Linked DNA regions of Nothobranchius furzeri. The protein of the gene in region 2 interacts with the protein of the main gene of each other region in a biochemical or structural test. Links are inferred from orthologs where the notes say so. Each region holds a gene or a part of one and is shown on either strand. Other genes may lie near its edges. The genes, in order: bmp2b, bmpr2b, gdf5 and bmp4.

Region 1 (8,300 bases), about 52 Mb from region 2:
AATAATGCATTGAACTTATATAGCGCTTTTCTAGACACCCAAACACGCTTTCACACACTCTCACATTCACACAGTGCCAGTGATGGTAAGCTACTTGTAGCCACAGCCGCCCTGGGGAGGTCTGACAGAGGCGAGGCTGCCATTTGGTGCCGCCGGCCCCTCTGACCACCACTAACACAGGCAAGTTGGGTGAAGTGTCTTGCCCAAGGACACAACAGCAGGATACCCCTGGCGGGAGCTGGAATCGAACCCATGACCCTCCGATCATGAGGCAACCCGCTCTACCACCTGAGCTACCGCTGCCCCAAAAGGACCAAATGGCATCGTTTCCTTTACCTTTTAACAGGTGAAAGTGGAAATACAATTTCTGCTATTGTTCTAGTTTATTCTGACGTTTTCTTTTAGTTTGGAAATGACAGAGAAGCATTAAAATTATTTCTGGACAAATGTATGAAGACATTAAAACAGTTTTTATTCTCAGGGGGTGAGAGTTTATTAATTACCTGAAGTTCAAATTTGGAAAAGGTCGAAATAACAATGTTATTTCTCTTAATTGTTTTGTGTGTGTGACTCTCTAAAGAACATTTCAAGTTATTCCAAGTTATTTATCTAGTTTATTTTTTTCATATTTTTCTCTTTTATGGTTGATATTGGTTGTTTGTGGTTACTTTAGTTCTTATTTTTTGTATTTTTTCTTGTTGAAACCATTTTTCCCCTTTCTGTCACAAAGAAACCTTCTACCGGGATTACTAAAGTTCACCTGAATCTAGTTATATTAAGTAAAAGTGTGTTTAAACGTCTGCAACATTTTCTGTCAGAACTAAATGCTTCTGCTCTAACTCATTCTCTGCCTTTGACAACTAAAGTCGTCATTTGCATGTTTTTACTGAGTGGGCGTTGGAACGAGCCCCCGCACCAGGAGAACAAACATCCCAGCTCTAAAGCCGATCTTCATCCGCATACGTCACACGTCACTTGACCTGGAAGCAGAAAATTCATGTGTTAGGAGATCGTTTTGGGCTGCTGTAATAAAAAAGCGAGACGCAAACCGGAAAAACTTCTGACGATCACAATTCGACAACGGATTATGAAAGAACGGATAACGTTCAAAATGTGCGGATTCTTCCTGATGTAAGAGATGAGTCTCCATTTTGTTTTGGTTGTTTTGGTTGTTTTGGCGTTGGCATCATCGTGGAGCGCACTGTTCTGTGACTCTTCCAAAAAACTTTGAAAACTCTAAAAAATGCTGGCAGTGAAGGGCTTCTCTGACCAGGAAACGGCTGGCAGTGAATGAGTTAATAATTAAGAAGCTGACAGAACCATCAAGGTTCAAAATTGTGTTGAAAACCATCCAATTTATTTTAAAATCACAGAAATCAATTTGTATTTATGTTTAGTAGGCCGGTCCAAACTAATCTCTGTTTCACCAAACTAAGGCTGTTCAAAGAACAGTCTACAGACTATTACTGTAAATATAAAAATAAGACATTTGTAGTTATTTCTTTCTTTGTTTTATGTATTTATCTTTACAAAAACCAACGAGAGTTCAAAATAATGGTCAGTTACGACATTGCCACAAAACGTTCAGTCTTTATCTTATTCCACTGATTCATAATAATTCTTAAAATACAAAATGGTTTCACTCGTGAAGCAAAGGCATACATATTTAGACCTTCCGTTGAAGGGGTTTCAGGTAATGGCAAAGAAATGTCAACAGGTGCGCCATATTGGACGGATGACGTCAGCTGGGAAGAGCTGCAGGTTTAACAGGTTAAAAGCAGTTTAGGGTTTACATTTTTCAAATGAATTGATTTTTTTTCTTATCCGTGGCAACAAACCTCAAGTTTGATCATTTAGAAACTTGATAGTTAATTAACACAACTGTCCTTTAAAAGTGATAAAAAATGATATTTTGTTCATATAACAGGAAATTAAGAGGTTGAAAGGAATTGGTTTCGTCATATTTATTACAAATTAACCCTTTGATGCATGAATTATGAAATCTTCAACCATGATTTTTTAAACTTTTTTTTCATTCATCTGTAGGTGTGAATGAAACAAATTTCAGCAAATATTATTTGTAGTATTTTGTTAATTTACAAATAATTTATTACATGTCCATCTCAGGGGACAGCGTGCATTCTGAACACGAAATATGTTGGCTTGACTTACTGAAGTCCAAATGAAGGAGCTCAATTGCAATAAAGTCTTCAACAGCTGTAAAATAAACAAATAACAATTTTGAATACCTGTCCACTGTATAGTGACCATTATGCATCAAAGGGTTAATGTAAAATTATATGATGAAGCCTGTTTATTCTTTCTATTTGGTTGATTTAAGTAATTCCTTAATAACGTGTTGTGTTTGCTAAAAGGAAAAAACTGTTAATAACTGCAAATGTCCCACATAGTTCATTTTTCTCACTACATTTTGCATTTTGATCATTGGCAACCTTTTGAATCTCAAATGCACTGAATCTATTTTGGCAAAACAAACAAACAAAAGTACTTGTTTGTCAAAAGAAGCAAACAAAAAGTACTTTTTTTTCTTCAAATATGCTGAGTACACATTCTGAGGGGAAATACTTGGTTAAAAATTGTAGTAATAAACTCAGCTCATAAACTCCTGCCAGCTCTTCCACCTGTTCTTGGTGGTCCTGTTACAGATTTTAATCCAAATCACATTTGTAGATGTTTGCTGAAGGGGAGAGGAATAAAGTTTAAACAGTTTTCCATTGTGAAGTTAGAAATGAGGGATTTTTCTCCTGCGGGAGTTACGCACAGGAAGTGGTGCGGTTTGGACAGATGACTGACAGCCCAGTGACATCACTGTAGGACAAAAAGCGTCGCAGGGGAAAGAGAAGGCACCAATCAATAGACCCGCTCCGGAGAGCTCTCCCTCTCCGAGCACCAACTTCACTGCGCTCATCTCTCCACGAACATCGCGCGACGCTCCACGTTTCTCCACTTTCAGCTTTTCTTTTTTCTAATTTTAAAAATGTCCAGACAAGCTTCCTCGCACTTAGTTCGGCTATGCCTGCGCGCAGCCGCTTCCTCGTAGACTTAATTTTTCTACTTTTTTTCTTTCCTCTCCGGACTGAGCAAGACCCGAACCCGACGCGCAGCTGGTGAGAATATGTGCGAGAAGCGATCGGCGGAGGGCGCGGGCTGTTTTCGGTCCCCCAAGCAGAAGCAGCGTGGATTAAACACGAATTAATGTGGAATTTATCGGAGCTTAAAGGTGGAACGACGACCGGACACCGCGCGTTCTCGTCAGGTAAATCGCTAGAATAAAGAATAACCATCGATGTGGAGGTTTTAACCTGAATCCGCACTTGGACTGAACACAGAAAGGTCACTTCACAAGTGACAGCTCATTTGTTTCTAATAATAAATTCGTGCGTAAAGCCTCCGCCTGTTGAGCCACGGAGAAACAGAAAATGAAAATAGAGGTAAAAGTTGTCTGTGTGGAAGTTGTTTGACTCCGTCTGTGTTTCTGATGCCTGGCTGTGGGGCACACGTCAGATCTAACACCTGCAAGCCTCTTGAAGTAACTATCCTTTATGATTACATGCAAACAGCGCGCAGTGGGACTGGAACTGATGCGTGTTCTTCCTTTGATCCTTCTCTCTGCATGGACTTTCATATCTGCAACAAGATCTCTTATCTCTTCTCGCTGGAGACCTTTTGTCTGCAGCGTTTCCCTTCAAATCCTTTGATTTGTCTGTTTAATCCACCTCTGTCATTAGTTTTTCACCTTGATATTTCATGTTAGGGTTCATGTTCAACCCAAACTAGAGGAGCAGTTTAGCCTCTGGGTTTTTCTTTCTTTCTTTCTTTCTTTCTTTCTTTCTTTCTTTCTTTCTTTCTTTCTTTCTTTTTCTTCTGCACTTCAAAGTGAAGAGGTGTCTCCCCCTTTTTAACCTGCTCCCCTTCAGTTTTACGCTCTGAGGGGGGATTTGGGAACTGCTGCCGCGAGAGCCTAGCTGGGACCACCTCACGTCAATACCACATTGCCTGCCAGTGTATTGACAGAAACCAACTTTCTCCACAGGGACTGACTGATCATGGTCGCCGTGGTCCGCTCTCTCATGGTACTGATGCTCGCTCAGGTGCTGCTGGAAGGTGCTGCGGGACTCATCCCCGAGGTAGGCCGGAGGAAGTACAGCGAATCCGGGAAACAGACCCCTGAGCAGTCGGAGAGCTTCCTCAACGAGTTCGAGCTGCGGCTTCTCAACATGTTCGGGCTGAGACGCAGGCCGACCCCCAGCAAACAAGCCGTGGTGCCCCAGTACATGGTGGACCTTTACCGGATGCACTCTGCGAACGGAGACCACAGCACTAAGCGGCCCAAGAGCATGGGGAAGCACGCAGAGAGAGCCGCCAGCAAGGCCAACACGATTAGAAGCTTTCACCATGAAGGTATATATTAGTGACATACCTTTACATGTCTCTCTCAGACAGCGCAAACCTATATTTAAACATGACTCAGATCGTCAACACTGAACTTCAGAGTCTTCCCTGTTTTCTGAAGGTTTAGTCATTTACAGATGACATGCTCCGAAGGTATTTGCAACCTTAAAAAATGCTTTAACTTAAAGATTGATGCACAAAAATCACATCAAAGTTGACTTTTCTCACCTAAGCAGCAGTGCAACATTTAGACAAACATCCCTCCAGCACAGCTGTCACAGGCTTCAGAAACATCAGGGGCGGCGGTATCCCCGGGGTCATTAGTTTCTTAATAATTGATGGTGTTTGCGTGGGATTCTGAAAACTGTTTTTCCAGACACGCACCACGGGAGCAGCATAAAGGGCGGTGCGCCTGTGCGCAGGTGATAGACGTCACCCTGCAACTTCAAAAAACAACCGACATCAGAGCAACACACACGATGACGAAGTCACCGTGTCAGACTGAGTCACCTTTAACAAGACTCAAATTAGCTCTTGGTAACGCCGTAGAGGAGGCGTGGCTTCCCTTCTTCCTGTTGCTTCCAGTTGTGCATCATTACGCGTGAACCAGTTTGGAGAAGACAGCGATAGTTGAACTACAAGTCTCAGTTCAGTTGAATTTAAAAACCTATATTTAAACATGACTCATTCACCTCTCGGATGAAAATAAACGTTTTGCAGACTCTGGATCAGCTGTTAAAATGTGGATTTAAACAGTATTTTAACAAAGTAAATGATGCTTTGTTTATAACAGCTTTAAAAGCAGGAGCACTCGATGTTTACGTTTTTGTATAATAAACATCTTATTCCCGGTATAGTAGATTTGCACATCTATTTATCTTAATGTGACCCACGTTGCTGGGTCCATTGGGGCCCTGCGCAGAGTCCTCATACAGAGTCCTGTGTTTGAGTGGAGAAGTTTCTTTCCATCAGGGGTGAGTCAGAGGGGTGGTTGAGTGGTTGCTTGGGTGCTCTCCAAAGGCCTAGTGCAATGACACCAAGTGGCTACACTGACACACTACAAACAACCCTGAGCAGCAGGGTTGAGTGACTGCTCCCAGCTCACCGCTGGAAACCTCTGCACTCAGCCAACACACGTTGACATTTACACGTCTTCTCCTGGCTCTTTTCGTCCTATGCTAACAGCCGCGCGGTTATTAGGCTTCCCGTATCGCGTCGAGGGATTGTTCCCCCTGTAATAAGCACGGATCTACAGATGTTAATGCAGCACATCAAAGCAAACAGCTCCAAGCCTTCGTCACGTCTGCCACGCCATGCTCCTTTCGCTCGGACAATTGGTTTTCAGGAATAACTCGAGTCAAATAGAGCCTTTCCACCGTAGCACAGGACGCAGCTGCCAGAGATGGCCGATCCAATATTAGCATCTATCTTTTGTTTTGGCGAGTGGCACAAAAATAAAGCTGTGGAAATCTGTGGTTCGCGTGCTTTTGACAAGCATAAACTTGTTCACACAGCAGTTCCAGACCGAGATCGAGAACAGTTGCAGAAAGGAACTGAGAAAACGGTGACAGAGAAGACAAGAGAAGAGGATCTCTAAAAGGACGGAGGGGAAAGAGGGGGATTTGGGTGCTGATAAAAAACAAAAAAAGAAGAGTAGGATTGGGTGAAGAGGAGCGAGAATGAGAGAGGGGGCTTTCCCACATCAAATGAGTAGTGATGGGTCTAATTGAGGTCTTTGTGCCTCTGGAGGGGGGTTTAGGACCAGATCGTGGAATTTCCTAAATGGCTCCTTTGAACAGATAAGAGTTTGAGGTTTGCGCTACTTTGCCGCACAAACCAGATTAAACTGCATGTCTATGGCTTGTCTATGATCTGCATGAAGTAAAAGTTCAAAGCAGGGCCGCCTCAAAGCAAATTGTAGCTTTTACCAACACTTCTGCCATTTGCACCACAGAGGGGAATGCCAGCGGACTTAAGTATACGCTTAACAGTCACAGGAGATGGAAAAGAAGGCCCTTCCACGTTTCTGGCTGATAGAAGAGTCTAAAACATCTGTTTATTGATTCTCTCTGTTTTTGCAGCCGAGTGTTTTAAATGCAGCATTCTCCAGGTGGCTTAAGATTTCCATAAACGCTAGAGTGACATTTGAGGATTATGTTTTCACCCTTTCTCTGCGTCCCGCACTCGTCTTAGATTATCAATGAAGTGAAGGAGACCTAAGTGAGCCGTGTCGAAGCAGGGTGATGGCTTTGCTTCATCTTATCAGTAAATGGAAGTGCATCGCTTTAATCCTTTGACATTTAGCCAGGCGATTTAAAAAACCCGACAGTGGTGACGGCATTGCGTCATAATGAGCATTTGCCTGCTATTACGCTGAGTCATGCATGCAAAGGCTTGATATACTATGTGTTTTACCTGCTTGACAATGGCCCACACCCACTCTCTGAATCAGAATCAGAAGTTTTTATTGCCATATGTGTGCCAAGTCACAACATTAGGAACTTGCTGTGGTATTTTGGTGCAGAAGGTAAGATAGAAAAAAAATTAATTAAGAGATAAGCAAATATAACTAATGACTAAGACTCTGTGACCACGTGACAGCTTCACTGCCTGCGCAGAAGGAAATTCTTTTCCTGCTCATTCGCGGTTTATTACGCCAGCAGCTACTCGAGGCGTGTGCCGGTTGTCATTCTTGTGTCGTACGTGAATTCTTTGACACATCATTGGAATGCATTTGAGAACACCGTCATCTGACATGCTGGATCTGCCTTTTGTTCTCTCTAGAGTCCATGGAGGCCCTGAACAGCCTGAAAGGCAAAACAACCCAGCAGTTCTACTTTAACCTCACGTCTGTGCCCGATGAGGAGCTCATCACTTCTGCGGAGCTGCGCATTTACAGGGATCAGGTGATGGGAGCAGCAGCCCCCAACAACAGCAGCACTAGTGGTGGTGCTCCTTCCGGTGGCTTCCATCGTATCAACATTTACGAGATATTCAGAGCTCCCGCCGCTGACGGCGCTGAACCTCTAGTACGTTTGCTGGACACCCGGTTGGTGCGGGAGTCTTTAAGCCGCTGGGAGAGCTTTGACGTGAGTCCTGCTGTTTCTCAGTGGACCTCAGGGAATGGCCACAATCACGGCTTCATGGTGGAGGTGTTTCACCCGGAAGGAGGTGAGAGTGACGCTGAGCATTCCCAGAGACGTAATAGGCATGTTAGAGTGAGCCGGTCCCTGCATCAGGACCAGGACTCGTGGCCTCAGGCTCGGCCCTTGTTGGTGACGTATGGCCACGATGGCCGTGGGGACTCGGTACTCCACACGCGGGAAAAAAGGCAGGCAGCACTCCGCAAACAGCGCAGGAAGAACCACAATAAGGCAAGCTGCAAAAGGCACGACTTGTATGTAGACTTCAGTGATGTGGGATGGAACGAGTGGATAGTGGCTCCCCCTGGCTATCATGCCTTCTACTGCCAAGGGGAATGTCCCTTTCCCTTAGCAGACCACCTCAATGCAACCAATCACGCCATCGTGCAGACTCTTGTCAATTCAGTCAACTCGAACATCCCCAGAGCCTGTTGTGTTCCCACCGAACTCAGCCCCATTTCGTTGCTCTACCTGGACGAATATGAGAAAGTCATTCTAAAAAACTACCAGGACATGGTGGTGGAGGGCTGCGGCTGCCAGTAAGACCTTTTTGGGTATGGATGCAAAAATGGTGAACACACAACACAAAGACTGGAAGTGATTTTAGGTTGCTATGGACACCCAATATCCCATTGAAGATGTTTATTTATATGAAAACACAAAACAGAGCTATTGTGGGGGAAAACTATATATGAATATATTTATGTCTACTTAAAGTTGGGAAAAATAAAAGATTTAATCAAA
Region 2 (7,741 bases):
GTGACACCTCCTGTTTAGGACGGTGATAGGGTTTTAGTTTTCTTGGTCCCAGTGCTAGACCAGGACTGGTACTAGAGCAGGTTCGCACCTCGTTCTCAACAGTTAAGGCCTTGTTTAGTTTCCCACAGCCAGAGAGCCGACTGAATGCCGTTACGTCTCGTAAAACGTCTGAACCAGAGAGCAACACTCTCAATTTACTGGTCACCTTTATCCCTACCCCCAATAGTAGTTGGTGTTGTGCTAGTTAATGAAAAAAGTAGCTAGTTACATTTACTATTTGTCTTATTGAAAAGTGATCAGTTACTCTGATTACTTACTCCCAAAAGTTACGCATTACTCTGAAAAGTGACTATTTAGGTACTTTTTAATAGAGTATTTTTAAAAATGTGCCCATTATGTCCCATTATGCCCAATGTGCCTCTGTCAGTGCGTCCCAGGGCAGCTGTGGCTACATCGTAGCTCATCCCCACCAGTGTGTGAATGGATGAATGATACACTGTAGTACAAAGCCCTTTGGAGTCCTTACTCTGAGAGGCGCTATACAAATGCAGATCATTTATCATTATCATTATTAATGTCCTTATAACCACATTTGATTGTTGTATAAACACAAATACTAATTTATTTTTCGACACAATTTAAGTCAGACCAGTAAAGTTGCTTTATTTAAAAAGTAACTAATTATATTAACAGTTACTGGTAAACGTAGCACCGTTACTGCAACACGTTATTACCCAACACTGCTTATGGTCAGGAGTTTGGATAACAACCAAAAGAACAAGATCGTGAATACAAGCGACCAAAATGAGTTTCCTTCGTAGGTTGAGTGGGCTCAGAGACAACCCTTACCTACACGTCACAGCATTTGTCTTGGTTAATCCAGTTTAAATCCAGACGTGGTGCTCTGATATCATCACCTTGAGGTGGTGAAAACCAAAAGATCCACCAATACCTGGGTCTGGTTATATAAAACAATCTCCACCATGTTAACTGCTTGGCTTTCTCATTCCCATAATGTACAGGCTCTTCCTAACAGTGAAATTGCTTAAAGTACTGATTTTAGCAACGGACTCCTTGTTATATTAGCCAAATTAATCAAAACATTTCACTAATTTAATCAACCATCAGCTGGTGGGGCTGCAGCTGTCAGAGGCTGATGAAAGGAAGGAAGTGGCTCCAACCCAAATAAAGTTAACATTAAGTAGTTTGTTACGGTTGTGGTGGAGACGGCGAGACTCTAGACAAAAGAACAATCCAAACCACAGAGCTGTGATCCACGAGGAAAACGCCGGGCTTCTCAATTCAATTCTGTTTATTTATATAGCTCCAAATAACGACGAGTCGTCTCGAGGCACTTCACACAGTAAACATTCCAATACAGTTCAGGTCATTAAGCCAATCAGTTAAAAGTTTCCTTTATAAGGGATCCAGCAGATTGCATCGAGTCACTGACTAGTGTCAGTGTCGTTACGGCAATCCTCATACTATCTCAGAGCTCTGGATGCTGTTTGATTTTCTGTGAATCACTGAGTTAATTCCAATCAGCACTGAGAAGAAATTATTTAATAGAAATAATAGAGTAACAGATTCAGATAAGGTTGTCTCCTGACCTCTAGATGCATAGCATTGATCCATTTAAACAAAAAGTTGCTAAAGGCTTTTATATATTATCAGCATGCAGCCGTTTGTCTCAAACTTTTTAAAATGTTTTTCTTATTGTTTACTGGTAAAACTCCTACAAATGCCCTCAGGTGCTCATGAATGTTAATGAGGATGCACCTCCAAGCTGCTTCCCATCCAAACCTCCAGCTAATTACAGTGGGGCAAAAAAGTATTTAGTCAGCCACCGATTGTGCAAGTTCTCCCACTTAAAATGATGACAGAGGTCAGTCATTTTCATCATAGGTACACTTCAACTGTGAGAGACAGAATGTGAAAAAAAATCCATGAATTCACATGGCAGGATTTTTAAAGAATTTATTTGTAAATCAGGGTGGAAAATAAGTATTTGGTCAATAACAAAAATTCAACTCAATACTTTGTAACATAACTTCTGTTGGCAATAACAGAGGTCAAACGATTACTATAGGTCTTTACCAGGTTTGCACACACAGTAGCTGGTATTTTGGCCCATTCCTCCATGCAGATCTTCTCGAGAGCAGTGATGTTTTGGGGCTGTCGCCGAGCAACACGGACTTTCAACTCCCTCCACAGATTTTCTATGGGGTTGAAGTCTGGAGACTGGCTAGGCCACTCCAGGACTTTCAAATGCTTCTTACGGAGCCACTCCTTTGTTGCCCGGGCGGTGTGTGTGGGATCATTGTCGTGTTGGAAGACCCAGACACGTTTCATCTTCAAAGCTTTCAGTGATGGAAGGAGTTTTTGGCTCAGAATCTCACAATACATGGCCCCATTCATTCTGTCCTTAACACGGATCAGTCGTCCTGTCCCCTTAGCAGAAAAACAGCCCCAAAGCATGATGTTCCCACCCCCGTGCTTCACAGTAGGTATGGTGTTCTTGGGATGCAACTCCGTATTCTTTTTCCTCCAAACACGACGAGTTGAGTTTATACCAAAATGTTCTACTTTGGTTTCATCTGACCACACGACATTCTCCCAATCCTCTGCTGTATCATCCATGTGCTCTCTGGCAAACTTCAGACGGGCCTGGACATGCACTGGCTTCAGCAGCGGAACACGTCTGGCACTGCAGGATTTGATTCCCTGCCGTTGTAGTGTGTTACTGATGGTGACCTTTGTTACTGTGGTCCCAGCTCTCTGCAGGTCATTCACCAGGTCCCCCCGTGTGGTTCTGGGATTCTTGCTCACCGTTCTCATGATCATTTTGACCCCACGGGATGAGATCTTGGGTGGAGCCCCAGATTGAGGGAGATTATCAGTGGTCTTGTAGGTCTTCCATTTTCTGATAATTGCTCCCACAGTTGATTTTTTCACACCAAGCTGCTTGCCTATTGTAGATTCACTCTTCCCAGTCTGGTGCAGGTCTACAATTCTTGTCCTGGTGTCCTTCGAAAGCTCTTTGGTCTTGGCCATAGTGGAGTTTGGAGTCTGACTGTTTGAGGCTGTGGACAGGTGTCTTTTATACAGATAATAAGTTCAAACAGGTGCCATTAATACAGGTAACGAGTGGAGGACAGAAACGTTTCTTAAAGAAGACGTTGCAGGTCTGTGAGAGCCAGAGATTTTCCTTGTTTGAAGTGACCAAATACTTATTTTCCACCCTGATTTACAAATAAATTCTTTAAAAATCCTGCCATGTGAATTCATGGATTTTTTTCACATTCTGTCTCTCACAGTTGAAGTGTACCTATGATGTAAATTACTGACCTCTGTCATCATTTTAAGTGGGAGAACTTGCACAATCGGTGGCTGACTAAATACTTTTTTGCCCCACTGTATACCAGGCATAAAAGGAGCCTGTTATGCTTCGCTCTCATTAGTTTAATACACATCGTCATGGAAACGCAGCACAAGCCAGGACAGGAGTCGGAACACATAATGTGTTCAAGTAAATTATTAATGTGATTTATCCACAACTACCAGATCTAAAGTAGTATTCTTTCAGAGTGATGAACTTTTCTCTTTGTGATCCATGAACCAACTAATAATAAATGATCAAGGTTACCAGGAGGGCAATCAAGAAGGAAATTAAACATTTCTGGGATAATGCTTTATTAAAGTGGTGATTTATAATCACAGTAGGACAGTATTGTTTCATGTCATCCCTCTTCATGGTCCTCAGGGTTCTGTAAGTCGCTACCTGAGCATCCAGACCAACGACTGGGTCAGCAGCTGCCGGCTGGCCCACTCTGTCACCCGGGGCCTGGCGTACCTGCACACGGAGCTCTGTAAAGGAGGTAAGCTGGTGGACACACAAACCACTCAAACCTTACTGGGATCATATTCTAGGGCTGCTACCGGAACATAAACTGAAAAAAAGAGTTGTGGTGGCAAAGCTTTTAGTGTGTTTGGCCCCAGTAGACCTAATCGTTTACAAAGGGTTTAGATTAAGGAAGGAGTGACATCCAGGTAGGCTCTGATTCAGCTGGTTGACCTCAATCAACCTAACAGGAAGTAGGATAATATTAACAAATTTATGGTCAATACAAAAATATAATAATACAACCAAGAACACTGAATAGTACCGGGGTTTTTATTGGTTTTACTACCACATGGCTGCCACCTCAAACCATGAGATGTGAAAAGCGTATAGTTCAAATAAAATCTAACAAAATAAAATCTATAAAATTCATCTTATCAAATATACTTGTATCTTGTAATAACATATTGACTGCATTGTTATGTCCTCAATTATAGGTTTTGGATAAAAGTGTTTGCCAAATACGGAAACATAAAACCAGAGTCATCCACATGGAGATATCTCGGGTTTTCAACATGTAAAACAAATCTTTGGACCTGAGTCCAATACCTCCCTGAGCTTAGACTTTTAGTGATGAATTGTGAACCATATTCATGGGGAAGTTTCCAGAATACATCAAAACTTTGGAGATGTCTCAGTTTCCTTGTCGATCAGAGAATCTCACTCTTGTCACTGCAATTTTGAACAAGTTCCAAAACAATTAGCGAGTTTTCTGGAAATTGTCTCAAACCTGTTTGAAATGCCTCATATCCATCTCAAACCTCAGCCCTGTCCTAAACACCTTAAACCTGTCTGAAACCCATCTTGAATTCCACAAATCTGTCTCAAACCTGTCTCAAAACACCTAAACCTGTCACCTAAACCCATCTCGAACTTCTCTTCAACTTTCTTTGATTTGTCTCAACCCCGTCCCAAATCTTTTTGTCTCGTCTGAAATCTGTCTCAAACCTGTCAGACACTTCTCAGTTTAGTTTTTGTGAGTCAAAGATGAGAAAACTACTTCAGCTAAGATTGTTGATCACTTTGTGTACATAATTAAGACACTTTCTGATTAAATTTAAACAAGAAATTTTACACAAATATCACACTGTTTGAAATTGGTCTCATGACCCAAACACATACATGCACACATACAGACTTACATTTTCAATGGTTATGATTTTACAGCATCTTTTTTTAAATCTTTTATTTCATTCACAATGTATAAAATAAACACAAACAAATACAACATACATTAACATATTGAAAAAAAAACATTTGAATGAAAAGGAGCAGATAGAAGAAAAAAATCTTATGATTTCTGCCCCTTTTTACAAAATAAAATTATCCGCCAAACAAACACAGTATAACCTCAGTCACTTTCTAATATTTTCACGTCTAATCTTTGACATTATAATTCACCTTTTCATAATTACTAAATACATTAGATTTTATACATTTTTTAAATGTAGCAAGTGTAGTTGATTCTTTAAATTCCTTGTTAATGGTATTCCACAACCTTACACCATTTACAGAAATGTTACATTCCCTCACTTTGGTTCTGAATCTAGGTTTCTTAAAGACATCAGTTCCTTTTAACATGTACCCACTTACTCTCTTATGAAACATTTTCTGAATATTAGTTGGTAGATTACTCGTATTCGCTCTGTACATTATTTGCGATATTTTCCACTCTACCAAGTCAGGAAATTTCAGTATTTTGTATCTAATGAATAATTTATTAGTGTGATCTCTATAGTTACTGTTATTAATGATTCTCAATGCTCTTTTTTGCAAAATGAACTGTTCTGTCTGTTGGGGTGAATTGAACATTTTTGTTTACATTTGAAATGAAAATATTGTCTTTAGGTTGTTTATTTGCAGAGAGCAAATGGTCAAAATAAGATGTCAGCAAGAGTGATTTGATCCACCCGTCTTCCTCTTGCTCACAAAGATATTGCAGTTGTTTCTACTTGTTTTCCTCCTGATTTAGTGTCTCCGGCAGTAAAAGACTATAGATGAAGTTTATTATTGTTTAACAAAAGCAGAGAAACTGTGAGTCCGTGATGATTCAGCAACTCTTCGTCTTTGTGACTTTGTCAGTCATATATGTGGTTGAGATCTGTTCTCTTGACTTGCGTTGGTTTGAGGTTTGGTGTACAGTTGACCTGATGTGTTAATGTTCTTCATTTTAACACTCGACACCTGAAAACTAAGTTTTTGTGTCCGGAAACATTTAAACAGTAGAGTCCAGAGCGAGCCTCCACGTGAGCTGTACATGCAGCGCCACTCGGGTCTGTTTGTCTTGTAGAGTTTGTGTTTTGACAAACAGTCAGTGCACGCCCAGCCGAGGGTATTTTTAGCCTTCCCTCGAGCGAGCCACAGAGAGGAAGCAGAGAAAGGAACATGCTACAGAGGTAAATAAAAGGTAACTTCACTCTGAGAGGTCAGGACTCTGCTGTTTCCGTCATCTGTCAACAAATGGTCGTCAGATGTTCCTGTTCTCTCTCCTCATTAGCACAGATAGTCGTCAGGCAGACTATGCAGTGAAAAGAGAGGAGAGAGAGCTCAAATCAGTGCCATGTGTAGCTAAAAAGTGACTCTGGGAGGTGAAGTGATGAGTAGATAAGAGGAAGGACTGTCTTAAAGAAATCTGCAGGATCTCTGGGGCTTTGGTATGGTAGTCTTCTCCCCCACTCCTGCACATCACATCTCCCTGGTGACTGTGTCAACCTCCTGCTGCCTCGCTGCGCCCCCTGCTGGTCACACACCTACACAATCATCTCCTCTTTGTTTTTTTAGACTTGTACAAGCCTGCCGTGTCCCACAGAGACCTGAACAGCAGGAACATTCTGGTCAAGGCCGATGGCACCTCTGCCATCATCGACTTTGGCCTGTCCATGAAACTGACAGGGAATCGTCCCACGCGTCACGGGGAGGAGGACAACGCTGCTATTAGCGAGGTGAGGAGAAAGGACTGCACCGCATCAGGGATTTTAGGATCTCTCATCACTTGTAGCCCCGAACGTTCAGTCATTTACCTTTGTTTCATCTTTTCTTCTCTCCTCTGCAGGCGGGGACGGTCCGCTACATGGCTCCGGAGGTTCTGGAAGGTGCGGTGAACCTGAGGGACTGTGAGGCAGCACTTAAGCAGGTGGACATGTACGCTCTGGGCCTGGTCTACTGGGAAATCTTCATGAGATGTACCGATCTGTTCCCTGGTGAGGAGAGTGCCCTATGGGCTACGTCTTTAAGGGTGTTCCATTCAGAACAAGCCTCATATGTGTGATCTGTGTCTAAAATCTGATCCGCCCTGTCTCCATTGGTCTGTAGGAGAGTCGGTGCCAGATTACCAGATGGCCTTTCAGGTCGAGGCAGGAAACCACCCGACGTTTGAGGACATGCAGGTCCTGGTGTCCCGGGAGAAGCAGCGGCCCAAATTCCCTGAAGCCTGGAAGGAGAACAGCCTGGTACGTGTTTGATAGGAACAGAGCCACAGTCGCATGAATCTGGGATTTAATCAAAGCGTCCGACTCACAATAGGAGGAATAGATCTTTCCTGTTTGCTTTTAAACTAATTAGAGGATTTTTTGAATTAGCTTTTGTTTTGTGTTAGCTTCTGGGTGGAGGTTGCTTCTGTTTGATATAATCATATCCAGAGCCTTTGGTTTGGAATCTGTGTGATTTAACTACTCCCACCCCCAGGCGGTTCGCTCCCTGAAGGAGACCATGGAGGACTGCTGGGATCAGGATGCAGAGGCTCGCCTCACAGCTCAGTGTGCCGAGGAGCGCCTGACAGAGCTGTTCCTCATATGGGACCGGTCCAAGTCCGTCAGTCCAACCCTCAACCCCATGTCCACC
Region 3 (8,178 bases), on a different chromosome or scaffold from region 2:
TTTGTTGCAACCACCAGGTATAAAAATGAACTTGTTTTTATTTGACTATTTTTCTGTCCTGTCTCTGTTTATTATCTTCCTGCGTCTCCTCTCAGTCCTAAAGAAAAACTGCCACCTGGGTTCGTATATATTCACCTCATGAGTTACCTTTGAACGGCAGTTAAAAAAGATCTACCGACCGCAAAAATAGCGGAGTGCGCACCTGCCGCACCGGTGAGGGGCATCACAGGAGGACAAAACAGGTGATGCGCTCCGCTCCACGGCAGCAAAACGCATCAGGCTCAAATAAAAGACAGAAAACATGTAAGGAAATGAGCCGACACGAACGATCGCGTGTTAAATTTGTTTTTCAGGTGGCAACACCTAATTTGAAAATGTTACTGTAGCCGTGTTCAGGACGCAGATGTCTGGAGCGCGTCAACGATTAGAGCTTTGCATGCGCAAGCTGGTTAAGATTAGGATGGGGGTGAGGGGAAACACAGCGCGTCGGCTCCCAACGCGCAGGAGCTCGTCACCTGCTGTCTTGTCCGAGGACTGCATCTTGTCGGTCATAATCATGTGACAGCGACTAGTCGATGACAGGCATAAAAAGTCACTGCAGAGCAGTGAAGTGGACTAATCGACTAGTTGATACAACCCCTAGTGTGTGTTTCTACTCTGTCTTCTCCATCCCCAGTGAGTCGTGGCGGATGGCTGCTTATACTGAGTCGGGAACCTCTGGAGGTTTCTTCCTAATAAAAGGGAGTTTTCCTCTCCACTGTCGCTGCATGCTTGCTTAGTATGAGGATTGCTGTAAACAATTTGCTGGGTTCCTTATATAGGAAACTTTTTTCTGATTGGCTTAACGAATTTACCTGAATTGGAATGTTTATTATGTAAAGTGCCTAGATACGATGCTTGTCGTGATTTGGCGCTACATAAATAAACTTGAATTGAATTGAAATTGAAAAGTTAAATAAGAAGATGATTATGAATCAAACCCCCCCACCCCCATCCCCCCTTCCTCGAGCAGCTGCTGACGAGCCAGAAGGTCCAGCTCCTTGTTGGTGTTGGAAACACAAACACACACAAGACTGGTGAGCTCACTCGTGTAAAGTTTGTGAACATATAATCACCCAATGAACAGCATCAGAATGTTTTATAGACTCCCACAGCTCTCTCTCTCTCTCTCACTCTCACTCACACACACACACACACACACACACACACACACACACACACACACACACACACACACATCCAGGTCTCTGCATGCGTCCCGGGGTCTCCAGGCATAGCCGATACTCAAGAGCCAGTAAGAGTATACTACATGGTCATTATTCATTCCTCATCTGTGTGTGTGTGTGTGTGTGTGTGTGTGCACGTGCGTGTCTGTGTGTGTGTGTGTGTGTGTGTGTGTGTGTGTGTGTGTGTGTGTGTGTGTGTGTGTGTGTGTGACGACCAAATAGGTCACCTGACTTTCATGGTTCTGATTACTGTTTAAGGTTCTTGGATGAGGTTTAAGTCCTGAACTCCTGACCCAGGATCAGAGCTGAAGAACATCTTAAAGGAACAGGAGAAGAAGTCCTGTTTTGTTTCTTCATCCTACCTCATCAGAGTTTTATTTCCGCTCTGAACTCCATGCAGATGAAAACATTTCTGAGTCAAAGTCATGGTTTGTTTCATCAACCTGCCACTTTACCTTCCTGTGATGTGACTTAGTGAGGGTTTGGCACCAACAGCAACTTGAAACAGGAAAGAGTCTTTTGGCTCTTTGGTGCAAAACCTGCAGCAAAAGTTAAGCATGACTAATGGTGAATGAATGGAGCCCATTTGGTCAGCCATGACATGTTAAAATATTTAAAAAACAAGAATCTAAACTTCTCTCTAATCTGTAGACTCATGACTTTATGAAAGGTTTAATGCATCTTTTTCCATATAATCATCTGAGGAAGGAGGTCAGATGTGAGGGTTGCTTTTCTCTACTGAATTATCAGAGGCTTCACTCAAGCTAATGATTAGTCCTAATTTTAATCTGAGTTTTGGGGTCTTCAGATCAAACCTCAACAGATGTCTACGTGTTCTCCAGCTTGGGACTCACCTTCAGGGCTTCATCTCATTGTGTTTTATAAAGTAACTGGAGCCTCAGTCTCCTTCATCTGGCCTTAGAATAGGAAACATCCAGCTGCTGCAGCTCTTCAGAGCCACACAGATGTGTGTGTGTGTGTGTGTGTGTGTGTGTGTGTGTGTGTGTGGGGCAGCAGTAGCTCAACAGGTTGAGCGGGTTTTCCAGTAGTCGGAAGGTTGCAGGTTCGATCCCGGCTCCGGACAGAGAATTCTGCTGTTGTGTCCTTGGGCAAGACACTTAACCCAGCTTGCCTGCTGGCGGTGGTCGGAGGGACCAGTGCTCGGCAGCCTCAACTCTGTCAGTGTGCCCCAGAGCAGCTGTGGCTACATCGTAGCTCATCACCATCAGTGTGTGAATGGAAGAATGATACACTGTAAAGCGCTTTGGAGTCCTTACTCTGGCGGGCGCTATACAAAAGTGGGTCATTTATCATTTATCATAATTTGTGTGTGTGTGTGTGTGTGTGTGTGTGTGTGTGTGTGTGTGTGTGTGTGTGTGTGTGTGTGTGTGTGTGTGTGTGTGTAAAAGAGGGAGGAAGATGTGGGCTGAATTATCACTGTTAAATGAGTTGGGACAGAATGACATCACGGCGTAATTAAAGCCGCTCTCTGGAATTCCTGCTCAGGTCTGCTGCAGGATTCTGGAGCACCTGCGGGTTGTTGTGTGTGAGTGAAATATTTTCACTGGACAGAGTTCAAGCTTTGGAGGGAAAGAGAAAAAACGGAGGCAACCGCATTACGCCATACTCTCCTCACATGGAAAAAAGAAGTGGGATTTAAAGAAGTTGTTACATGGTACCAAGCAGAACAGTTCGCTGGAGAGCAGAAGACGGGTCCAGGTCTCAGAGTCTCACCTGTCCACCATCAGCAGTATGGTTCTGACACCTGACCCTGACCAAATGACTCTTTTAACCCTGTGAGAGTCAGACCCCGTTTCTCTAGCGTTTGGGAGCGAGACGCGCATTTTGGACCTCACGGGTCTGAGGATGAGAAAGGTCACTGAACTTCCCGCGCTCCTGGTGTCGGCTCAGCGGGTCAGATCGTTCTGAAGAGATTTATAGACGATGTGCCAAAAGGCTGCAGAGATTTAGGATGAGAGTGAAGAATCTTCCCCTTCTGCTCAGCTGGACGATAGTCTTCCTGCATCCCGTCCGCGGTTCGCTCAGCAGAACCAGAACCACCTTGGAGCGAACGGGAGGAACCGCTGGCTCTTGGAAACCAGCTCCTCGTGTGCGCGTGAGTGCGCTGCCGACCACAGGTGAGACGAATTTTGCCAGTCAGAAACCAGCGGGGATCTCCGCTGCACCGGGGAGGCTGGACCAGCCGCAGCAGGACGGAGCGCAAAGATCCGCGTGCAGAGAGGCTGTGTGCTCCTGGCGTCCCGCCGCTAAGGCACGTGTTGAAGCGCACGCGCCCGCAGCTGTTAACGCAAATGCTGCCAGGAAAGGAACTGAGACGTTTGGAGGAGGTGGCTCACCGGGGAAAGCCGCTTCCAGGGCGGGCGCAGCAGCCGCCGCTGCGCGCAGCGGGTATGAGCAAAAACAGAGCGCGGCTGTGGAGCGGGGCGTCAGCATCAAGTCACCGAAACCAGGCGCCAGGCAGCCGGTGGTGACCCCTCACGACTACATGCTGTCTCTGTACTGGTCACTGAGCAGCGGAGACGTGAACAGCAGCGCGGCTCTGGCCAACACCATCACCAGCTTTGTGGACAAGGGACAAGGTAACTGTCTCTGTCCTCTATAACGAAGACTATAGGCTTTCAAAGGAACAGAAAGAAAGAAAGAAAGAAAGAAAGAAAGAAAGAAAGAAAGAAAGAAAGAAATGAAAAACTGAATAACTTTCCTAGGATTTGGATCCAGTTCTGGGATCAGATGGTTTGGAAGCAGCAGAATGTTCTGTCGGTCATGTTTCAGTTGTAGGGAAACATCACTGCTGCTGCTCACACACAAACCTTACTTAAAACCAACCATTTAGTTCTGAGTGAAGATTTGGTGAAGGAGGGCTCTGTAGACCTCCACAGATCTAGGATCAGTAGGAGAAAGAACAGGATCTGAAGGGAAGGCCTGTGATTGGTTTAGCTCATACTGGAATAAAAGATATTTTAGTGTTTGCATTGAAAACTGTTCTTCTCGACCTCTAGGGTCCCCCAGGGTTCAGTTTTGGGTCCTTAGCTTTTCTCGATCTACATACTTCCTCCAGGCATCATTCTAAAAAAACTTAGTAAACTATCACATTTAATGCCTGGCAAGCCCGACTAAATAATATATTATTAAGTCCGGCAACACTCCATCGATGGCTCTCGGGCTCTACAGTTGCCTTTCAAACGATCTCCCGCACGCTACTGGACAATGAACAACGTGGCATACTCACCACAACGGATGTCGATAAACGAGGTTGTAGAAGGTAAAAATACATCCTTTTTCTAAATAAACAACTTAAAAACGTGTATCTGCTCCTGGTTCAATAAAGCCCAAGTCCCAATAGTCCAGAATTAATGTAAAACCCATTTAAAATGAGCGGTCGCCATTTTTTTCCACTCTTGCATCATCCCGCCCACCAGACAAACAGAGGTCCGTGATTGGTCCACAAAGCAGATAGGTCACTGTGACCGGCCCACCATTGTGGACCAATCACAGCGCTCTATCAGTTTGAAACCCCTCTAGAGAGCTGTGATTGGCCAGCCAGAATGCTGCTAGGGGCTGCAGAGGTTCTAGTGGAGCGTTCCTAGACCAAAGTTTGGTCTAGTTCACTAGACTAGTTCTGGGCTAGTTCACTAGGCTACACATGTATGCAGATGACTGACTACTACTATGTCAGCCCAAGCTCTCCTGCAGTCTGTGTTCAGGATCGTTCCTCTGTAATTAAAACCTGTTTTTCCTCTAATTACCTTCATCTAAATGAGGACAAAACCAATGCTATTGTAATAAAAGTAGCCGTGGGCAGCACGGGCAGAATATCTTGCCCTCCGGTCAGAACCTGAACACACCACCAGTAGGCAACGACTTATAAAAGACACACTTTATTGCACAACCAATAATAAAACACAACGATAAAACACCATGGCCCAAGCCCTCTCTTGTAAAACCAACTGTCCAGCATGAGTCACGTAAGCAGCGGTACTTAGCTGTCACGGATGGTGTGACCCCCGTCCCCGGGGTCTGAGCTTCCAACGCCGTCCAACGCCCCGGGGTGTAGCTTGCGAGGACGGCGGGTAAATCCACAACATAAGTCCACTGCCAGAGTCCGTAGCGGCAGATGTCGGCGCGGCCTTGGCATCACCTATGCCCAGCCCTAACTGTCTAAAGAAGGCGACCAGCCTTCCCTCCTGGCGCTGGAACACTAAACACCTGTTCAGCTATCTTCGTCGCCGGCAGCCCTACCCGGCTGCGAACGACCCCTCCCCCCAAAGTCCGATGCCACAATGACAGGTCGACCACGCACCCCTCTCAGCAGACCTGTCACCTTTTTATCCTCCCTGGCCTCGTTATCCATAACGAGGACCAGCTGGTGTCCAATCACCACACCCTCAGAGCCCGGCAGCTTCCGTCTTCTGCCCATCACACTCTCCCCTTCTTTGTCCTGAAGGACTCGCCCTCGAGTCCTAGATCTCCACATGATAATCCTTATGCCAAACAGGGGGTCTCCTCTGACGAACCACGCGTTGCTCCACAGCTCCAGGTCCCTCGACCTTCTCAGGGATACGTCCTCCCGATCCTCTTCCAACCGCACCCCCTCGAGCAGCCTCTCCATGCAATGGGGCAGGGTTGCTTGAATCACCGGAGCCCTTCGTCTCCGAAAACCGTTGAGCACTCCTGCTGATGTCCTCCCAGGTGGCATCCGGCTGATGAACCACCCGCTGTTCCGCACGTCTGTCGATCTCCCCAGGGAGACGTCCTTCCGGTCCTCCTGCAGCAGCACCTCCTCGAGCAGCCTCTCCACGTGATGGGGCCGGGTCACTTGCGCCGCCAGACCTGCTTGTCTCTGCAGACCGTCGATGAACCCTGCTGGTGTCCTCCCAGGTGGCATCCTGCTGACGCAGACTCTGCCGCGCTCTCTCTCGGGACCCCACAGCCATCGGTGCTGCAACTAGTGGAAGAGAAGTGCACGGCTTAAGTCGGTTGAAATGAATCACACTCTCAGGACCCCCCTCAACGGGTACTAGCCTGTATAACACGTCTGTCACCTGCTCGAGGACCCTAAACGGTCCCCTATCTCGCCTCTGAAGCCTGGGACACACCCCTCGTCTCCTCAGCTTATTTCTGACCCACACTAAGTCACCTGCCGCGTAGAACCGGCGGGAGGCCCTAAAATCATGTGCCCTCCTTTGTTGCACCGATGCTCTGCCCTGATGGCACTTCACCGCATCCACCATCGTAGTGAATGTTTCCTTCAGCCTCGTCACATACTTGTCTACTGAGGCAAAGGCTTCACCTATCCTGGCCTTCAAGTACCCAGCATTGCCTCTTCCTACAGGGGTCTCAACAACAGAGAAGGGGGCGGGCATTTGACCCACGATACACGCCCCCTCTAGTTTCCCTGCACGTAAGGGCAGTCCCGACGTAAATGCCGGTTACAGCCACACTCCCAGCAGCCTCCAAACCTCTCATTTCCTTCCCTCCGGGAATATTCTTGCCTAGGCTGCAAGTTTGTGTTCTGAGCGTCACGACGGTGGGGACTAGATGCAGCAGGTACTGACAGTGTGTGCACCACTTCCTGGAGGGATTTCACCTCCTGTCTCAAGCTCTCAACCACCCCCATTAGTGAAGCAATGCTTTTATCATCAGCATCTTTCACAGTTATCCCCCTCACTCTTGCGTCCGATACTGAGCTGGTCTCCAAGCTCCTAATGAGCTCAAGCTCCGCCGCCAGGTCGATGGCTGCTTCAAGCGACGCGGGCTTGGCGCTCCGTAAACACACTCTCATGTCTCCATTCCCCACATGAGCTATAAACTGATCTTTAGCCAACATGTCTCGTATATTGGGATCCACTGTCGGATAAGCTTTAACGACAGCCCGTCGTAATGCCATCCCAAATTCTCGGACACTTTCATTATGCCACCTGCGTCGAGCGGAGAAAACAGCCCTATTCCAATCAGCGCTGTCACACGGATCCAAACACTTCCCCATTTGCTCTTTTAACACGGCATAATTAGCTTTAACGCTCCCCGACAAGCCATTGTAAACCTCTCGAGCCTTGTCAGACAACAGAAGACACAGAAACTTCAGCTTAAGGGGCTCATCCCAGTTATTTACATCGGCTGCCATTTCAAATTGTCCAACCCAGTCTGCCCATTCGCGGCCAACACCGGAAAAGCTCTCCGGCATAAAAATCGTCCGAGCTGCTGTGCTCACGGGCTGATTTTCAGCTGGTCTCAACGGAGGAGGTGTGTTATTTTCAGGTTCTGACATTTTGGATTGCTAGATCCCACTTCTGACACCAGTGTAATAAAAGTAGCCGTGGGCAGCACGGGCAGAATATCTTGCCCTCCGGTCAGAACCTGAACACACCACCAGTAGGCAACGACTTATAAAAGACACACTTTATTGCACAACCAATAATAAAACACAACGATAAAACACCATGGCCCAAGCCCTCTCTTGTAAAACCAACTGTCCAGCATGAGTCACGTAAGCAGCGGTACTTAGCTGTCACGGATGGTGTGACCCCCGTCCCCGGGGTCTGAGCTTCCAACGCCGTCCAACGCCCCGGGGTGTAGCTTGCGAGGACGGCGGGTAAATCCACAACATAAGTCCACTGCCAGAGTCCGTAGCGGCAGATGTCGGCGCGGCCTTGGCATCACCTATGCCCAGCCCTAACTGTCTAAAGAAGGCGACCAGCCTTCCCTCCTGGCGCTGGAACACTAAACACCTGTTCAGCTATCTTCGTCGCCGGCAGCCCTACCCGGCTGCGAACGACCCCTCCCCTCAAAGTCCGATGCCACAATGACAGGTCGACCATGCACCCCTCTCAGCAGACCTGTCACCTTTTTATCCTCCCTGGCCTCGTTATCCATAACGAGGACCAGCTGGTGTCCAATCACCACACCCTCAGAGCCCGGCAGCTTCCGTCTT
Region 4 (8,264 bases), on a different chromosome or scaffold from region 2:
TTGCATAACTCAGCTGTTTTCGGCTTGTTTTTATAACATGTATCTGTTTTTATGTGCGTATTTGCATCCTGAGGTCAAAAGTTGTGCATGTGCAGTCATGTCTCAATGCGTGATGCATCAACACAAATCCTTCTGAAGCATCGCTGAAACATTAGGCAACGTAAACATTCCTTTGGAGAACATGTGATTTTTTTTGTTATTGCAGGTATTTAGAAAAACGTGTAATCCATGCATAGTTAAATGACCCATGAAACTACACAGAAACATTACATTTCTTAGACAGTTCCAGGATCAGCTTGGATTATTACAACTTTTAAGGGATGAAAAGCAGCAAATTTGATCAAAACAATTTGCTTGACAAACATCCCTAATTTGATGGTGTTGAAATGCACCCATCACTTGGTGAAGATATGCAGCAGATGAGTTAGAAGACGCAATAATAGAAATACTAAAATAGCCTCAGGGAATACATTTAATTACCTTTGCAGATTTACAGATCTCAACTCAACCCTAACCCTAACCCAAATGGGGATGATCCAGAGATATTTGTAATGGCAAAACACACTTTCTGGTTGTCTTTTAATTACTGTGAAACCTGTACCTTGGGTGCATTGGATATTGTATTAAATCACAACACTACAAACAGAACACTGAATTTAAAAAAGTATTTTGAAGCTATAAAGTTACAATTAAATCAAAGGTCAGTTTCATTAAAAATAAAGCAAATTTTGCAAATTCATGAAATTTGCAACATGTGCACCAAAGGAGCAACACATGGGAAACACAAACAACGGGAATGGTTTTGCAGGTAGAGGACAGGGACATTGTTCTCTCTTCATCTTTTTTGGATGTTTTTTATTTAGTTTTTGGTCATTTTATCTTTGACTGGAATCATGAGAAACCTAGACCCCACAGAGGTTGCACAAACAGGCTTAAACCACCAGGATGGCACAACAATATGTAACTATTGCCAGAAGATTTAATGTGTCTCCTAACACAGTCAGCAGGGCCGCTGTGTGCTCATTTGTGCAAGGTGGACGAGTCCTTCTAGAACCCTAAAGTGACATCAAGGGGGCCTCTGGTGTAAATGTCTCCGACCAAACCATTAGAAACAGACTGCATGACTGTGACCCAAGGGCCGGAGGTCCTCTAGTGGGCCCTGTGCTCACTGCCTGGCACCGTGGAGCTCCACTGGTATTTGCAGGTTCACTCTGAGCTCATGTGACAGACCTGAAAGGGTCTGAAGAAGCCACGGTGAATGTTGTACTTTCTACAACATTGTTCAGCATGATGGTGACTCAGCATTAGTCTGGGGAGAACATCCATAAACATATGTCTGTAGATGATGAGCGACAGCACCCTGAACCTTTTGCTGTTGCAGTGGATCATGAGTTCTTCCTGGATGGTAATATCTGGTCTCATCTGGTAAGAACATGCAGGCACTTTCTAGAGGATGAAGGACTTGATACCATTGACTTACACACCTGATCTAAATCTAGTGGGACATCATGTTCATGTCCATCAGACACCACCAGGTCAGTGATGAGGGGACTCTGAATGAAGAGAGAGGTAGTGTAGATCATTTTTGTTTTGATCAAATAATGTGTAGCTTGATTCCCCCCCCCCCCCCCCCCAAGTGAAATCTGATGTATTTTCGAAGTGTTCCATTACATTTTTTATAATGAATGACATCCTGAGAGTCAGGAGCAAGAAAAAAAATCAATGATTTCTGCTGTTGGTGTAAAATACACATTTGGGACAAATGAAAAAACAACCAAGGTTTGGACCATCCATCCATTTTCATCTGCTTATCCGGAGTCGGGTCACAGGGGCAGTAGCCTAGGTCGAGAGGCCCAATTCCCTCTCCCCAGCCACTTGGGCCATCTCCTCCGGGGGAATCCCAAGGCGTTCCCTGGCCAGGTGAGAGACATAGTTCCTCCACCGTGTCCTGGGTCTACCTTTAGGTCTCCTCCCGGTTGGACGTGCCCGGAAGGTTTAGACCAGGGGTGTCAAACTCATTTTAGCTCAGGGGCCACATTGAGGGAAATCTAGTCCCAAGTGGGCCAGACGGGTAAATAAAAAAAAAAACTTCAGATTGTTTTCTTTGTTTTAATACAATCAATATAAAACAAGGCTGGAGCCTGAGGACAGTGTATCCAAAATAGGACAAGTACAACACCTGAAGTGTACTTGAAAATTTGAAAAAAAAAAAAATCAATAAATAAATAAAACATTCCTTAGTGATTCAAAGTGCTTACAGATCACATGGCTAGATCAGTTTCATGCAGCACTTAAAGCAGGGGTGTCCAATCCTGGTCCTCGAGGGCCGGTATCCAGCACGTTTTCGTTTTAAACTGTTTCAACACACCTGATTTCAATCAGCAGGTGATTAACCGGCTTCTGCAGAGCCTGATGAGCTGCTGCACAGGTGATTCAACCAGCTAATCAAGCGTGTTGAAGCAGAAAAACCACAAAACCTGCTGGTTACCGGCCCTCTAGGACCGGGATTGGACACCCCTGACTTAAAGTATATTTGACTCATTTTACTTTACATCTTTTAGCTTTCACCAGCACATCAATATCAGAAGTCACATCCTGAGTGGCAGCCAACTTCAGGATGTGATCCAAGTTCTTGTGTGAGTCTTGAGCACAGCTTTGTTTTATTTATACTCATTACAGAGAAAACTTGCTCACAAAGATAAGTTTATTTTCACTATATTGTAAAGTATGAAAATAAAGTTTACACAACCATCTCGCGGGCCGGATTTAACCTGTTTGCAGGCCGGATCCGGCCCGCGGGCCGCATATTTGACACCCCTGCTTTAGACCTTGCTAAGTTATTGTTGTAATTGTGTGTATTGTCTATTCAGGCCCAATGTAAAACCCTAATCCTAACACTGAAGAAACTTTTTAACAAAGAGTCGTTTTAAATCCTCGTTTTTCCTGATTAAAATTCACTTTATAGTATGTTTGTCGGAATCAACGAATAATCTTGACATTTTTAAATAAGTAAATAAATGTACACAAGTGCATTTAATTATTTTTAATTAAGTAAAACACTGCAAATGGCTTTAAAGAGTAACAGAAAGTTTTAAGGTTTTGTAGAAGTAAAAAAATATATAAGTATAAAAACTGTAGGGATCAGAGATGCTGGATCATTTGTTTTTCTTTCTTTCTTTCTTTCTTTCTTTCTTTCTTTCTTTCTTTCTTTCTTTCTTTCTTTCTTTCTTTCTTTCTTTCTTTCTTTCTTTCTTTCTTTACTTAGGCAACTTATTTATTTATTTTATTTATTTATTATTATTCATAGGACAATTAAACATAAAACCATTGAAATAACACTTAATAGTAAGCACTTGAGCATGCCGTGATAGTTTAAAATGAAAATTTTTAGGGTTTTGTTCTTACGCTTTTAACCGTTTTGTATTCACCTGTTAAGATGTGTTCTTCCCAGTTTTTTCCCCCGGATCTCTCCAAACCAGTTGCCTCTCTCCAGAACATTTAATATATATATATATATATATATATATATATATATATATATATATATATATATATATATATATATATATATATATGTATATATATATATATATAGACTCTGTTTACGAAATGTGTTACAAATAAAGCTGCCTCATGTAATATATATATTTGTATATGTATCTATATATATGTATATGTATATATACATATATATGTATTTGTGTGTATATAAATACATATATATGTATGTGTATATATATATATATATATATATATATATATATATATATATATATATATATATATTACCTTTGTGTACGAAATGTGCTACAAATAAAGCTGCCTCACGTCAATTTTTTCTAAATAAAATAAAATGCGCGCAGCCTAGGAGAGATGGGTGTGTGTGTGTGTGTGGGGGGGGGGGGGGGGGATGTCCGAGGTGTTGGGAGACTGGGTCGAGGAGGAGGTGGAGAAGGAGGGGGGGAGGGTGAATTGGGCGTACACATAAAAACTGTAGGGATCAGAGATGCTGGATCATTTGGAGAGCCTTCCCGTTCTGCGCATCGCCCTCCCTCACCGACTGTCGTGGAGACGGACGAAAGAGCCAGATAACCGGCCTTTACAGCTCACATGTCCGCGTCGGGGCGCCACTAGAGGATTAATGAGCCACAAAGGCACCAGACTTCTGCTTGAAGGCGCATTTTGGTGTTTTGCAGCGTGACGGCTGGAGTGTTTTATCCGTCGTTTCCAGATTCACGAGAGGAAACCTGGACCTCCACTGATGGTAAGAGCTCCTCTCAGCTGACAACTACACATCAGTAAAGGAGAATTTAGAAACAGGACCAGAAAAATAATAAAGAACGAACTCTATGGAGGATTTAATGGGTTCTATTATGTTGATTGTGGTATTTCTGCGCGCGTGGAAGATTTTTTTTTAAATCCCAGAAAGAAATAAAACGTGTTAAGGTGATTTAAAAATCGTTAACTTTACTTTTATTAGTCATTTAGACATAAAATAAAACTAAACCACAGCGATAGTCAGCTTGTCACTGATTTCTTTCTGCGTTTTTTTGTGTGTGCCAAAACTTTGCGTAAAGACAAGTGAGTGAGGTCATTTCCAAACAACGCGTCAGATTTCCGTGTGGTTCTCTTTCTCCGTGACAACTTAAACATTTGTTTTCAAACTCTTTCTGTTTTCCAGCGCGAATCTTAGCTCGTAAACCAATCTGGACACGCAGAAATATGGAATAAAATCACAGGATTGCGCTCTGAGGGATCGCATTAATTAAAATAAAGAAAATAATCATTTGTCACTCCTTTTATTTGTAAAATAATTTAAATGGTATGTGTATTTTCAGTATAGTCTGCTATCAAAAGTGTATTTTTATTTGTTTTAATAATCAACTGTTTTTCTTTTTTTGTCTAAACTGCCAACTTGTAAAAAAATTAAAACGGGTATAAACATAGGTTTATATAAATAAATGCTAGCATAACTGTTCTATATTGCAGGTGTGGAAATGAAAATGTACCATTAAACCCAGTAAAAGACAGAAAAGCTTGGCCTCTGGACATGTGGCTCTCAGTCTGAACCAGAACTGCAGGTCTTGCAACATCTGGGGAAATTTTTATTACTTGTGTTTAGATTAACAAAAAAGGAGAAAACAAATTAAATTAGTCAAAAAAGGCCAAATGTGTCACATCTGAATTCTTGGAGTGACTTCACCGACTGTGAATCTTATAAAATCCACAACTTTTGTTCATTATAAACCAGGAATTTATGAAGTTTTTCTTTCAGAGATTTGCTTCATTTCTGCATAAATAAATAAATAAATAAAAAGAAAATGCAGCTTCCAACCAACTTATTCCAACTTGAGGCTGGAATATAAACTAATGATGCACAGTGCCGGATGTTAACTCACATTAGAGTTTACACGTGATGCAGCTCCGGGGTTGCAGATGTGTTGTTGCAGACTTTTAAACAAAAAATCAGACTTCGATCTGTTCTTGTGGTAACCTGCTGCACTCCTCTCTCCCGCCCTTAGTGCCCATCTTCCCTCCCACCATCTCTGTCAAATTTCTCAAGAAACACATCTGAAGAGCCATGTGCAGAGCCTGACCACTATCTGTGGTCAGAAAGAGACAGAGGAAGGGAGGGAGCGGCTAAGCTGACCGCTGCGGCCTAACTGCACCCCGAATCTGAAAATCTGCTTGCCTTAGCTCCACTTTGCTTTTTATTGTTTAATTCAGAGAAGAAATGTGAATCTGGAAAGTGTGCACGCTCACATACGCAGGTTTTCCACTGAAGAAAGTTACCCTCCTATCACTTTTTCCTCTTCTTTCATCATCATCACACCACACTGAGTGTCTGTCTGCTCTGGCCTGCACTTTTGCTGGTTACAGTTACAAGATGAGCTGTATGGTCAGTGTTTTTGAGTACTATGAATCCCTGCAATCATGAAAGAGGCCCTCTCTGTACAATGAACGTTTGTTGTCAAGGATGCACGCACACACACACACACACACACACACACACACACACACGCACGCACGCACGCACGCACACACACACACGGAGTTCATCCCTGCACCCCATGGGTAATAGAGCTGATCATGTTCTGAGCCCTCCTCTCTCTCTCTCTGTGCCACAGTTCTCACGAACATGCGAGCGGTGGTACACATTCGCGCGCAGGCGAGCTGGGCTCGTGCACCTGGTCCTTGCCTCACACACACTGGATCCGATGACATGAACGAGAAAGGGCGGGGGGGTCAAGCCGAGGTCACTCTAATGCTGTTATAAGAGAAAGAGATCTTTGATTGCATGCACAGTGAGCCGTCGAGAGCCTGAGATATTCACACCGATACCCAACCAGCCGGCGTACTGTAAAACATACAGACTGTGGATGCTAAACCTTCTCTCTCTCTCTCTCTCTCTCTCTCTCTCTCTCTCTCTCTCTCTCTCTCTCTCTCTTCTCTCCTCTCTCTCTTTCTCTCTCTCTCTCTCTCTCTCTCTCTCTCCCTCTCTCTCTCTCTCTCTCTCTCTCTCTCTCTCTCTCTCTCTCTCTCTCTCTCTCTCTCTCTCTCTCTCTCTCTCTCTCTCTCTCTCTCTCTCTCTCTCATGCTTGAGTGAACAAGCCCCAAATGAAGATCAAAGACATATGTTACTCTGGAATTTAATCTGGGGTGCTGTTGTTGTGGTCACTCGGAACCATTTGAACCATTTAACTCTTTAAATAAAACCTAAAAGCTGAATGTTCTAGTCGTCGAAACGCCAAAACAAACAATTGCTCTAGTTTTTGACAGCCATGTTTGACATTTTCAAGTTGAGGAAGCTCTTTTTTTTCTTTACTTTAAAAAAAAATTCATAACAAAAAGCGAGTAGGTGCCAAACTGAAAGCTTATGCTGCAAATGGTTGAGTCATTGTAGATTCGGAGCTATTAGAACATCATCTGTCACCTTTTTAGTCCAATTCAGCTTTTGAATTCAACGAAAAAAATCCTAAAAATGTAACTAAATCTAACAAGGTGTTAAATTTCTAATATCTCTCGGATGATTGAGTAAATGTTGATCTTTCTCTTGAGATAGGAGAAGTCTTGTGGCACATACCTCCTTACATTCCAGTTACAGCAAATAGCAGCTTCCCCACAAGCCAAAATGATAAGCCTTAAAGAGACACAGGGTCTTTCTCTCTCTCTTTCTCACACACACACGCACGCACGCATGCACACACACACACACACTCTGCTTGTCTTCACGTAAATACAAAGTAACATCCTCTCAAGTGTTTGCAGACGCACTCAGATTAAGGTTTCCTCCGTGTTTTGGACTATCTTTCAGGAACAGGGTCACTCCAACGCTCTCCTGCAGCCTCCCAACACCACCTAACATTTCCTGGAAGAACGTGTCCACCTCCTGCTCCCAACAAACATGGACTGTTTCCCCATGCTTTATTTTCTGTCGGTGAGTACGCTAACTCCAAGTCCGAAGAGGTCTTGGGTTTGGCTTGTTGGGGCAGACTTTGAGGGACGCCGGCTCCTCGTTGAGTTAAGAATTTGTTTCTACCCCCAAGGCCGCCTCTTTTATTTGTCTGATCGTAGGAGACGAGTGGAAAGGGGTGGAGGGAGGAGGAATGGCCCTTAAATTGCATTTAAAAAGTTGGGAACCGGCTGTTTACCTTTGGAGGATGTCGCCAAAGATAAACAGCAAGTGGTCCTGGACTGTAAACGAGACAGACGGGAATATTGAGGGTAATTATTTAGCCTCGAGTGGGAATACAAAAAGAAAGTTTTGTGAAAAAATGTTGGAGCCATAGTACTCTAATATTTAACGTAGAAAAGTGAAGATAATTAGTTTAAATTTGTAACGTTCCATATCTTGTTTATCCTCCCAGAGACATCATGATTCCTGGTAATCGAATGCTGATGGTCATTTTAATATGCCAAGTCCTGCTGGGAGAGAGCAGCCATGCTAGTCTGATACCTGAAGAAGGGAAAAAGAAAGTACCTGGCCTGCAGGGTCGCTCGGCCACTCAGAGCCATGAACTGTTGCGGGACTTTGAGGCCACGCTGCTGCACATGTTCGGCCTCAAAAGACGTCCACGTCCAAGCCGCTCCGCCACCGTGCCTCAATATCTTCTGGACCTCTATCGGCTACAATCCGGGGAGGCCGAGGAGCTTGGAGCGCATGGCATCGCTTTTGAGTACCCGGAGAGGTCGGCGAGCCGGGCCAACACGGTGAGGGCCTTCCACCATGAAGGTAAGATATTTTGGAAAAGCACTGAAAAGAC

What was found.
Region 1: the proteins of bmpr2b (region 2) and bmp2b form a complex in vitro, tested with the Homo sapiens proteins (4 studies listed by BioGRID and IntAct, with this or other methods). The link is inferred for Nothobranchius furzeri from reciprocal best matches to the Homo sapiens genes BMPR2 and BMP2.
Region 3: the proteins of bmpr2b (region 2) and gdf5 form a complex in vitro, tested with the Homo sapiens proteins (2 studies listed by BioGRID and IntAct, with this or other methods). The link is inferred for Nothobranchius furzeri from reciprocal best matches to the Homo sapiens genes BMPR2 and GDF5.
Region 4: the proteins of bmpr2b (region 2) and bmp4 form a complex in vitro, tested with the Homo sapiens proteins (2 studies listed by BioGRID). The link is inferred for Nothobranchius furzeri from reciprocal best matches to the Homo sapiens genes BMPR2 and BMP4.

The regions. Positions count from the first base shown.
Region 1 is NC_091742.1:22,690,720-22,699,019, reverse strand, and holds the start of bmp2b (bone morphogenetic protein 2b), read left to right. Parts: upstream 1-3,099; 5' UTR 3,100-3,277; intron 3,278-4,054; 5' UTR 4,055-4,067; coding exon 4,068-4,422; intron 4,423-7,197; coding exon 7,198-8,099; 3' UTR 8,100-8,300. UniProt on the Homo sapiens protein: Growth factor of the TGF-beta superfamily that plays essential roles in many developmental processes, including cardiogenesis, neurogenesis, and osteogenesis. Induces cartilage and bone formation.
Region 2 is NC_091742.1:74,240,139-74,247,879, forward strand, and holds part of bmpr2b (bone morphogenetic protein receptor type-2), read left to right. Parts: intron 1-3,763; coding exon 3,764-3,878; intron 3,879-6,682; coding exon 6,683-6,843; intron 6,844-6,953; coding exon 6,954-7,101; intron 7,102-7,213; coding exon 7,214-7,350; intron 7,351-7,585; coding exon 7,586-7,741. UniProt on the Homo sapiens protein: On ligand binding, forms a receptor complex consisting of two type II and two type I transmembrane serine/threonine kinases.
Region 3 is NC_091743.1:78,132,079-78,140,256, reverse strand, and holds the start of gdf5 (growth/differentiation factor 5), read left to right. Parts: upstream 1-2,654; 5' UTR 2,655-3,198; coding exon 3,199-3,826; intron 3,827-8,178. UniProt on the Homo sapiens protein: Growth factor involved in bone and cartilage formation. During cartilage development regulates differentiation of chondrogenic tissue through two pathways.
Region 4 is NC_091758.1:25,532,722-25,540,985, reverse strand, and holds the start of bmp4 (bone morphogenetic protein 4), read left to right. Parts: upstream 1-3,992; 5' UTR 3,993-4,264; intron 4,265-7,315; exon of another isoform or gene 7,316-7,321; 5' UTR 7,322-7,438; intron 7,439-7,868; 5' UTR 7,869-7,875; coding exon 7,876-8,233; intron 8,234-8,264.